3 linked regions of the Xenopus tropicalis genome follow. The protein of the gene in region 3 interacts with the protein of the main gene of each other region in a biochemical or structural test. Links are inferred from orthologs where the notes say so. Each region holds a gene or a part of one and is shown on either strand. Other genes may lie near its edges.

Evidence for each region.
Region 1: the proteins of glrx5 (region 3) and bola1 form a complex in vitro, tested with the Homo sapiens proteins (2 studies listed by BioGRID). The link is inferred for Xenopus tropicalis from reciprocal best matches to the Homo sapiens genes GLRX5 and BOLA1.
Region 2: the proteins of glrx5 (region 3) and bola3 form a complex in vitro, tested with the Homo sapiens proteins (4 studies listed by BioGRID and IntAct, with this or other methods). The link is inferred for Xenopus tropicalis from reciprocal best matches to the Homo sapiens genes GLRX5 and BOLA3.

Annotation. Positions count from the first base shown.
Region 1 is NC_030684.2:128,792,248-128,796,009, forward strand, and holds bola1 (bolA-like protein 1), read left to right. Parts: upstream 1-991; 5' UTR 992-1,103; intron 1,104-2,782; 5' UTR 2,783-2,791; coding exon 2,792-3,235; 3' UTR 3,236-3,472; downstream 3,473-3,762. UniProt on the Homo sapiens protein: Acts as a mitochondrial iron-sulfur (Fe-S) cluster assembly factor that facilitates (Fe-S) cluster insertion into a subset of mitochondrial proteins. Probably acts together with the monothiol glutaredoxin GLRX5. May protect cells against oxidative stress.
Region 2 is NC_030679.2:121,246,040-121,249,801, reverse strand, and holds the start of bola3 (bolA-like protein 3), read right to left. Parts: upstream 2,819-3,762; 5' UTR 2,798-2,818; coding exon 2,762-2,797; intron 918-2,761; coding exon 794-917; intron 1-793. UniProt on the Homo sapiens protein: Acts as a mitochondrial iron-sulfur (Fe-S) cluster assembly factor that facilitates (Fe-S) cluster insertion into a subset of mitochondrial proteins. Probably acts together with NFU1.
Region 3 is NC_030684.2:88,818,892-88,821,194, reverse strand, and holds the end of glrx5 (glutaredoxin-related protein 5, mitochondrial), read right to left. Parts: intron 1,026-2,303; coding exon 847-1,025; 3' UTR 558-846; downstream 1-557.

The sequences.
Region 1 (3,762 bases), about 40 Mb from region 3:
ATAAGTATATTTATAGTCAAAATGTGTAATTCCTAGTGTTAATAAGCAACTCAAACCCCATATACCATAATGGCTAATGGCAGGTTAGGCCATAGGAAATATTATTGGTAATATTATATTCCTAATGTGGGTCCAGGCAGATTTCAGCGTAATTGTCCCCAATCCATTTGTCTCCTTCTTTAAAAACCAATGTTGACACGAACGAAACCTTTTTAGGAAACCACAAAGCCCCAAAATCATAATACTTGACCCTAAAAACAGTTTGGCTATTCATTATTTTGCCCCTGAGCTGAGAATGGTTCAGTCCAAAAGTGTCAGTCCAGATTTGTACAGCGCTGCGGAACATGTTGGCGCTTTATAAATAAATGTTAATAATAATAATAACAGTCTCCTGTTGGGTTCTGGGAGTTGCAGTTCACTAAGGTATGGAGCCTGCAGACCCCTATTCTATAATAGTCCTTTTTTTTTTTTTACCATATTTATCTATATTGATTTTTATTTTATAATTCCTTTAGCCAGGCAAAGCCTAAAGCAAAGCAAGATATAATAACATTAAACTATTACAGCAATTAAGCAACTATAAATGCGAAGCTAATTAACCGCAGAAGAGTAAAAGGTAACCAGACAATTAGCTTATTAGGGCAATAAATGCCGTATCACAGTTAAAAAAAAGCAATGCTGCCCCCTACTGGCCAGAATGTATATTAAAGCGCTTTACTTCTATAGCGTTCAGTAAAATTAAACCAGGTAAAGGCCCCATGAAACGGGATTTCTGTTTTGCAAATACCTCTGTTAAAATACAACAGTTGTGTTACGATGGCAGGGGCCGGGTAAAAACAAAGTTCAAGCTAAGCCCCGCTCCTGTGACAGAAGCAAACACGGCCGCGGGATTTCCTCAAAGGGTTTCAATACAGTGGGATTCTGGGAATTGTAGTTTATTAGCCGCATTAAGGTGAAGAAGGAAGTTGGAGTTACAGCACGGAGGAACTACAATTCCCTACGAGACAGGACGCGTCCTCTGACAGAACGCGGAAATACGCTCTGACCTAAGATTGGCTGTTGACCATAGGATTCCCGGGCCGAACCATACCAGGACGCCTCAGGTACCATAATATTACTGTTATTATTGGCTAATGCCTAGACTCTATACTCTATTCTGTTATCATACCGCTAGGAAGTAACCCATAGCAACCAATCACATTTTTGCTTTCATTGTATTGCCAGCTGGCTGAGCAAATGGAATCACTGATTGGTTGCTAAGGGTAGCTGTCCAGGGGCACAGTGTCAGGGTAGTTTTATTATCAAGATATTGTTTTTTTATTAGGTTACAGACTTGTGACAGTGCAGGGATCATATTTTGTTTCTTCTTCCTCTGTTCCTGGATAGTTATGGGCTGCATTTAGGGTTGCCACCTTTTTTCCCCCAAGTCTGACCAGGCTGCGGTCCAGGGAAGCCAGTGACTTCATAGGGGTGGGAATGGGCACATTGGGGGCAGGGTAGGGTTGCCACATTTCTTGAAAAAAATACCGGCCTTCCTATATTATTATGTTTTTCCCTATTAATAACATTGACATGAAGAATAATTTTTTCCGGCCAGGCCTGTAAAGTACTGGCCAGGTGGTAACTCTAAGGCAGGGTGTGGGTGGATCGGGGCAGGTATGGGCTGATTAGGGGTGGGAAGGACATGGATTACAAATTTACTGGCAATTACATTGCCGTATTACCAACTTGGTGGCAACACTAACTGCATTAAAGGTCCCCATACACTATAAGATCCGCTCGCTTGGCGATGTCGCTAAGCGAGCGGATCTTCACCCGATATCCCCACCTATGGGTGGGCGATATCGGGTAGCAAGGGACTTAAAAAAAAAATAATCCCTGGGGCCAAACGATCGGATTACATTTAAGGTTATGGGGCAGTCGGTTCGGGGACCGCATCAACGAGCCGATGCGGTCCCCGATCCAACTGGATTTTCTAACCTGGCCGATCGAGATCTGCCCAATTTCAGGCCAGATATCGGTCGGCCAGGTCGCTCTGTTCTGCCCATACACGGGCCGATTAGCTGCCGAATCGGTCCAAGGGACCAATATCGGCAGCTATAGTCGGCCCGTGTATGGGGGCCTTAAGTCACGAAAATATTTTGTTGGCCTCCACAGATAGAGCCTCACAAGTAGTCCAAGGGCATTGGCACATGATGCCCATACAAACACTTGTAATTAGAATTGTGGCAGTCGAAGCCTCAGTTGCCTACAGGCCCCACGATCACTCTGAGGTGATTTCCATGAGGGGCAATATTGGCCAAAAGCAATAATAAGCTCACAGTTACACCATGTGCCTTTGCTCACAATGTTTTTAAGCCTGAAATGCAGGGGATCCCCAACCTTTCTTACTCGTGAGCCACAGTCGAATGTAAAAAGACTTGGAGAGCAACACAAGCACCATAAAAGTTCATGGAGGTGCCAAATAAGGGCTAAGATTGGCTATTAGGGGCCTCTATGCACACTATCAGCTTACAGGGGGGCTTTATTTGGTAGGAAATCTTTTTTTTTTATTCAACCAAAACTTGCCCCCAAGTCAGGAATTCAAAAATAACTCCCTGGTTTGGGGGCACTGAGAGCAACATCCAAGGGGTTGGGGAGCAACATGTTGCCCCAGAGCCACTGGTTGGGGATCACTGCTGAAATGGAATCCAAATGCTTTCTGGGTAAGCACACACAAAAATATAGATGTTTCCTACTATGTTCACATATAAGTAACTTGGGATTTCTCTTTGGCCTGTAGCTCCTTCCCATGCTGATGCTACCGTTGAGCCTGCTCCGAACTAAATGCAGGATACCTTGGACACTGGTCACATTGCCGTATTCTAGATCACAGCTTTACATGGAGAGGCCAGTGGAGAACGCTATCCGATCCAAACTGACTGAGACCCTGAAGCCCAGCCACTTGGAGGTGCTGAATGAGAGCTATATGCATGCGGTGCCCAAGGGCTCGGAAACGCACTTTAAGGTGGTGGTGGTGTCGGAGAGCTTCCTCGGCAAGTCTCTGATCCAGAGGCATAGACTGGTGAATGAACTGCTGAAGGACGAGTTAGCTGGTCCTGTTCATGCCTTGTCCATCCAAGCCAAAACCCCTCAACAATGGGAGGAAAACCCTGCCATCAGCAAAAGCCCAGCCTGCATGGGGGGCTCGAAGCATGACCCTGAGATGGGCAGGAAACTTGGCACTCAAGTGTAGATGTGACCCCTCTAATAATGGGAACTTATATGTGAGATAAAGCAAAACATCTGATAACTACATTTTACTATTTCTGTAAAGAACTGTGAAAATTGTTAGATAAACCTGTTTGTGACCAGCTGTGGGCTGCGTACAAAATGGGTGCAGAGCGCTTCTGTACGTTTATGTGGTAGTCAATAATGGGTTACGGTGATGTCCCTGTCAAATGTAGGAATTAAATCATTATGTGCTGATAAATAGTGCTGTGTTTATTTCATATACTGCTTCCTCCCTGTATGCCAGTCTCACATTCTAGTATTGGCATTGTTACAGTTCCTTTTGCAGTGCTCTGAATGCCTCCTGGGGCAATGTATAAATGGAGAAGAAAAGCAACATCCAGTTTGGTGATGTGCAGGCCAGCCTGAAACCTGTGGGCATGCAATTTTAGCGGCGTGTGCGGGCTCCGTCCACAACCCAACCGATTCCTCCAGTGGCTGCCTGCCATTAGCTTATTTATATACTTACATCTGCTTTCCCCCCTTTTCTGA
Region 2 (3,762 bases), on a different chromosome or scaffold from region 3:
AAACAGTCGGTAAAAATGGGAGATATTGAAGGTCCCATCACATGATCAACTTTTTCTTTCAGCTTTTTAGAGCTTAGTGGCACATTCAGAAAAAGTATTATTTTATACAAATGCTTACTTTGTCTGACTTGTTTGCAGCTCATCTATTTTTAACCCCCCACCAACTATTTAACTGTATTTTACAAATTCCACATAATGCACTAAAGGTGGATAGCCAATCAATCAGCCTATAGGGCAAAGGAAGGGATACCATAGGAGCGGCCAAACGTGCTATAGCCACCTTTCACCTGTTCTCTGTTCCCTCATTCAAGCCGACAGGCAGCTGTTTTGTGAAGACACCTTCATTTAACATCTGTACAGAAGCTACCTAAAGGTGGCCATACACAGGGCGATTGTAGCTGCCAATATTGGTCCCTTAGACTGATTCGGCAGCTTACCGGCTCGTGCAGGGGCAGAAACGACAGGCCTGTCTGACCAACATCTGGCCTGAAATCAGGCAGATATTGATCGGGCAGGTTAAAAAATTTAATCGGATCAGGGACCGCATTGGGTCGTTGATGCAGTCCCCAAACCAATTGCGCCTATTACCGGCATTCTAATTCGATCGTTTGGCCCTGGGGCCGCTTGGCGACCGGATGTTTACATGTATGGCCACTTTTACTCTATGAATCTAACTAGGAAGAACAGTAATATTCTGCACCACAAATATAGCCCTGAACATACAATTTGTGAAACCATACCATTCAGCTTTCCCTATTCCCAGTGAGTAACTTTAGGAAGTTTGATATCTTACCTGAAATATCAACTACTCTAACATGTGAGGCCAGCGGAAACTTGGCTTTCAGCACCTGAGTTATCTTGTACTCTCCCTCTGTCTTGGAAGCGAAGGATCTGTTTGTGATACAGCGGATACATGTCTGTGGATCAAACATATCAAATATGAGTATTTGAACACAGCCGACACATAAAACAAATGACCAAGTACTCTTTACCCAACCCATGACCGTAGCTGAAACAAGCCAACATTTTGCACTTTAGTAATTAAATAACTACAACTTCCATCATCCATCCTACAGATTAACTGAGGGAAATTAAAGAGATTCTGTCATGAATTTTATGGTGTACTTTTTATTTCTAAATTACACTATTTACATAGCAAATAATTCACTCTACCATTTAAAATTGTATTCTTGAGCCAACAAATGTATTATTTTTAGTTGTTCACCTTTAAATTAAATTTTAGTATTACACAGACTGATATTCTGGGACAATTTTCAAATGATTTTCATTTTATGTGATTTTTCAGTTATGTAGCTTTTTGTTCAGCAGTTGTCCAGAGTGGATTTTCAGCTGCTACCTGGTTGCTAGGGTCTTGTTTACTGTAGCAACCAGGCAGTGGTTTGAACGAGATACTGGAATACGAATAGGACTGAGACTTAACAGAAAGATAAGGATTAAAGGAACAGTTCCATGTAAAAATGAAACTGGGTAAAATAGATAGACTGCACAAAATAAAGTGTTTTCAATATAGTCAGTTAGGCAAAAATGTAATCTATAAAGGCTGGAGCAGATGTCTAACATAATAGCCAGAACACTACTTCCAGCTTTCAGCTCTCTAACCTCTCAGTTAGTCAGTGACTTTAGGGGGCACAAGGGACATAACTGTTCAGTTAGTTTGTGAGCACGCAGGTCAGATTCAAACGCAAACTAACTAAATCGTTATGTCCCATATGGCCCCCACAAGTCACTGATTGGTTACTGACACCTAATAGTTTAAAGAGCAATTATTCAAACACTCACATCTATAGTTCATATAAATCTGCTGCTGTATAGCCATGGGGGCAGCAATTCAAGCACAGGATACATCATAGATAAGCTCTGTAGAATCCCACTGATTATATAACAGAACATATCTGTTATCGGCTTGAGTAACCTGTTTTTTTCTCCTTTTTTTTTAGCATTGAATGGCTGCCCCCATGGCTACACAGCAGCTTGTTTATATAAACTATAGTTGTGTTTCTTAAAGGAACAGTAACACCAAAAAATGAAAGTGTATAAAAGTAAGTAAAATATAATGTGCTGCTTCCCTGCACTGGTAAAAGTTGTGTGTTTACTTCAGAAAGTCTACTATAATTAATATAAATAAGCTGCTATGTAGCCATGGAGGCAGCCATTCAAAGGAGAAAAGGCACAGGCACATAGCAGATAAAACACTATTGTATTCTACAGAACTTATCTGTTATCTGCTATGTAACCTGTGCCTTTTCTCCTTTTTTCCAGCTTGAATGGCTGCCCCCGTGCCTACACAGCAGCTTATTATATAAATTATAGTAGTGTTACTGTAGCAAACACACCAGTTTTACCAGTGCAGGGCAAAAATTCATTATATTTTTATTACTTTAAAGCTCTTTCATTTTTTGGTGTTACTGTTGCTTTAAGAAAACACACAAGCTGTACCAGTGCAGGGCAACAGTACATTCTATTTGAATTACTTTAAAACACTCATTTCTTGGTGTTGCTTTTCCTTGAAATCATATCTAGGGGTCAGTGCTTCACTACAGAGAAAGGTGTCTCGGCAGCTGGAGGGATCTAGTACAAGGTGTAGCTTAGCATTCAGTGCAGTCTGCCCCCTAACATTCAATAGACTTGTGTGGCAGTGCCAGTATTGCCCTGTGCCGTATAACCCGCTCTGCCCTGTAGCAGCCCCTCGCACTGTATAACGAGTTGGGACTGTATAGCCGTTGCTGGAAGTAAGACTCACCCTGCTTGTAGCGAATACATTCCTAGCTGCGTACATTGTACGTGCACACACCGCGATCCCTTACTTGGGATTTCAATGTTACCGTACAGCAAACCTGTCCATGAGTCCTTGGCTGCTGACAGTCCCTAGCGGCGACTCGTACTCCGGCGAACGTCAGTCACATGTGACGCACGGCGTCCTCATCACGTGGTGCAGATTGAACGTAAGAGCGGGAGCGGCTATAGAGCAGCTGGCCAGCACCCAGGGGGGAGATATATAACAACTCGGTTGTTTTATGTTTGTTCCTCTCAATATTTTGGGGGCAGCGCGCTATGACAGCATGAATCCCTCGCCCCCTTTGCTATTTCTTGAACGGGACACGTTTAGCGTTCTCAAGCCGACAATGACCGCATGTATGTCAGATATGGAGCGAAGTGTTGCCTAAGAGTAAGAGCTCAATAGCTGACTGAAACGCCTGAGCTGCCCCGTGACGTCATGCTGCAAGCGATGTCATAAGAGTGGGAAAATGAAATAGCGGCCTCTAGCACACAATGGTACAGCACGACTTTTTTGCTGACTGTTTTATTTCAAAATAGTTTGTTAGGCTGATGCCACACGTGGCGTTTTTACGCTGCGTATTTTCTAATTCAGCGGCTGAAAAACACACGATATCATCATCCATAGAAATAACTTGAAAAGACTCAAAGCAAACCACACAAAGCGGAAATACGCTAGAAAATGCCTTAGCACGGATTTTTCAGGCGTTGGCTGAAATACGCCAGTATTTGCACAGCAACCTATTCCTATGTATACACAAAGGCAGCTGCCAGACCTAGCTGAAATACGCGGCGTATTTTGCACTATTAGCACCATGGAAACGGGATTTGCTACGTCACCAGTACTAGGGTGAAAAACGCCATAGTCAGGGGCTGTGTGGCTTGTGCGGCGTTTTTAGGCTGAGAAAAAAACGTAGCGTAAAAACGCCACGTGTGGCATCAGCCTTAACTGGCAAACGTACCTGG
Region 3 (2,303 bases):
AGTCGCGGGCGACTAATCTCCCCGTGTGCCAGAGCCCTAAGGGGCTTATGAGTGGCTATATAGTTTTTGGAGACTTAGGAAGAGGAAGCAACAGGCAGAATAAGTTGTGAAATCCATGGAAATTTCATGCCCCTTAAAGGAGAGAAGCAATCTTTTGAGAATGAAGGGAGGCCTAGAGAGCAACCTCCCTCCCACTAAGGCCCCTTAAACTCTTATGGAACCATCAGCCCCACTGGATCTGTGCAACCTGAAGAAAAAATAACATCAAGGACTTCATTTTATCAGCCTGTCTGTGGATTGGTTACATATGGACTATCTGTGGGACATTCTGGATAAATTCTGCCAGTTGGTGGCAGGTCTCTTTTTAACTTATGGCTTAAAATGGCACCAATATCTTGTGCTACTTACTGATTAAGATTACTAGAAAATTCTATTCCTGACCCCCAAGTTCTCTTGCCTGATAAAAATATCATGTTATGGTGCATGGGTCAAAAAGGCCTATTACATGCTGTTCCAACTCCTTTTAATAATGCAACAAAGTCTAAACAGGCAAGTGATAAACCTGTATATTTTATTGTTTACAATATTTTCTTAATGTAAATTTTTTCTTTCAACACATCAGTGGTCATTATCTAAATATATTACACAAATCTATTCCATGGCAGAAAGGCTTCTGCACAAGTTGGTGGAGGTCCTCCACCAGGTTTGATATATTAATAGAGAACATTACATGGACTTCTTTTGGACATTAGAGCATCTGTACAACAGTTCCTCCAGGCAAATAAGGCTTTTCTGGTGCAATCAGGCCTTTATCCTTTTGACATATAAAGTTTATAACACAGTGCATTACTTTTTCTCTTGGCTCGGTTCAGCATCTAATAGTGCAGAACGAATCCCCAACTTATTTAGCTCTTCCACAAGGTCTCCATTCTGATGCATCTGAAGTAGAATATCACAGCCTCCCACAAATTCACCATTAAAATAGACCTGAGGTATGGTGGGCCAGTTTGAATAATTCTTTATCCCTAAAAAAACAAAAGAGAAATCTTAATTGCATAGAAGTCATACCCATCTGTGTTAAAATTATACAAACACAAGTGGATTATGTGCTGTTATATGTGCTATATATATTTATTGTACAAGTCTGAGGGGATAAGTCCTAGATGGCAGGCATATATCCCCATTTTTTAGGTTCTGAGCCCTTTAAGAACCACCCCTTTAAGAGACCCAACACAGGGTGTGGTCTGGAAAACCAAGGGGGTTTAAGGAAGGGAAAGGCAGTTGGGAAAGGTGTGGAGTGTGAAAGTAGAGTTACACATGAAAGCTGCTTTGAATGCACCCGAGTTCCGCGAAACAAACCGGTGGGTTTGAGCCGTTTCCTTATCGACTAAAGTAAGTCAAACTGGTTTAATTGGGCTGCCCGTGGGACATTTTGTTGGTAATACCTGCTGTGTTTTTGTATTTTGTTTGCTGAACACAAGCTATTTTTCATTGCCCTTTTTGCTGCCTTTTTGTGTTAACAATAAATGGACTGTTTTTGGGAAGTTTGGAGTAGCCTGCATTTGTGCTGCAACCCTGCTGTGTTCCTGCAAAACATCATATCATATATATATATATATATATATATATATATATATATATATATATATATATATATATATATATATATATATATATATATATATATATATATATATATATATATATATATATATATATATAATATTATATATTTATTTATATATATATATATATATATATATATATATATATATATATATATATATATATATATATATATTATTATTATTATTAAACTCAACAGTAGAAAGCACTCACAGCTACAGCATCAATCAGGTCAGTGATTTATTTCAGCATACCATCTACGCGTTTCGATCACCACAGGATCGTCATCAGGATGGCGATGACGATCCTGTGGTGATCGAAACGCGTAGATTGTATGCTGAAATAAATCACTGACCTGATTGATGCTGTAGCTGTGAGTGCTTTCTACTGTTGAGTTTGATGCATTATTTTTGTCAGCACCCAGCCTGTGCCCGATACTGGCGAGTGCCGATTCTTTACAAGACTATATATTATAATTATATATATCAGAGGATAATTCGACTTTCTGGACTGAGAGCTCTTCTCTACTATAATATACACATATACTGTGAGAAATAATGACTGCATTAGAATTTTCATTTATACATTACAAATATATTAAAACCCCCCAAAAATTAAGATCAGTGTGTGAGGTAACAGAGGGCCCAATTTCCATGGGTTTTTTTAATTTACAAAGA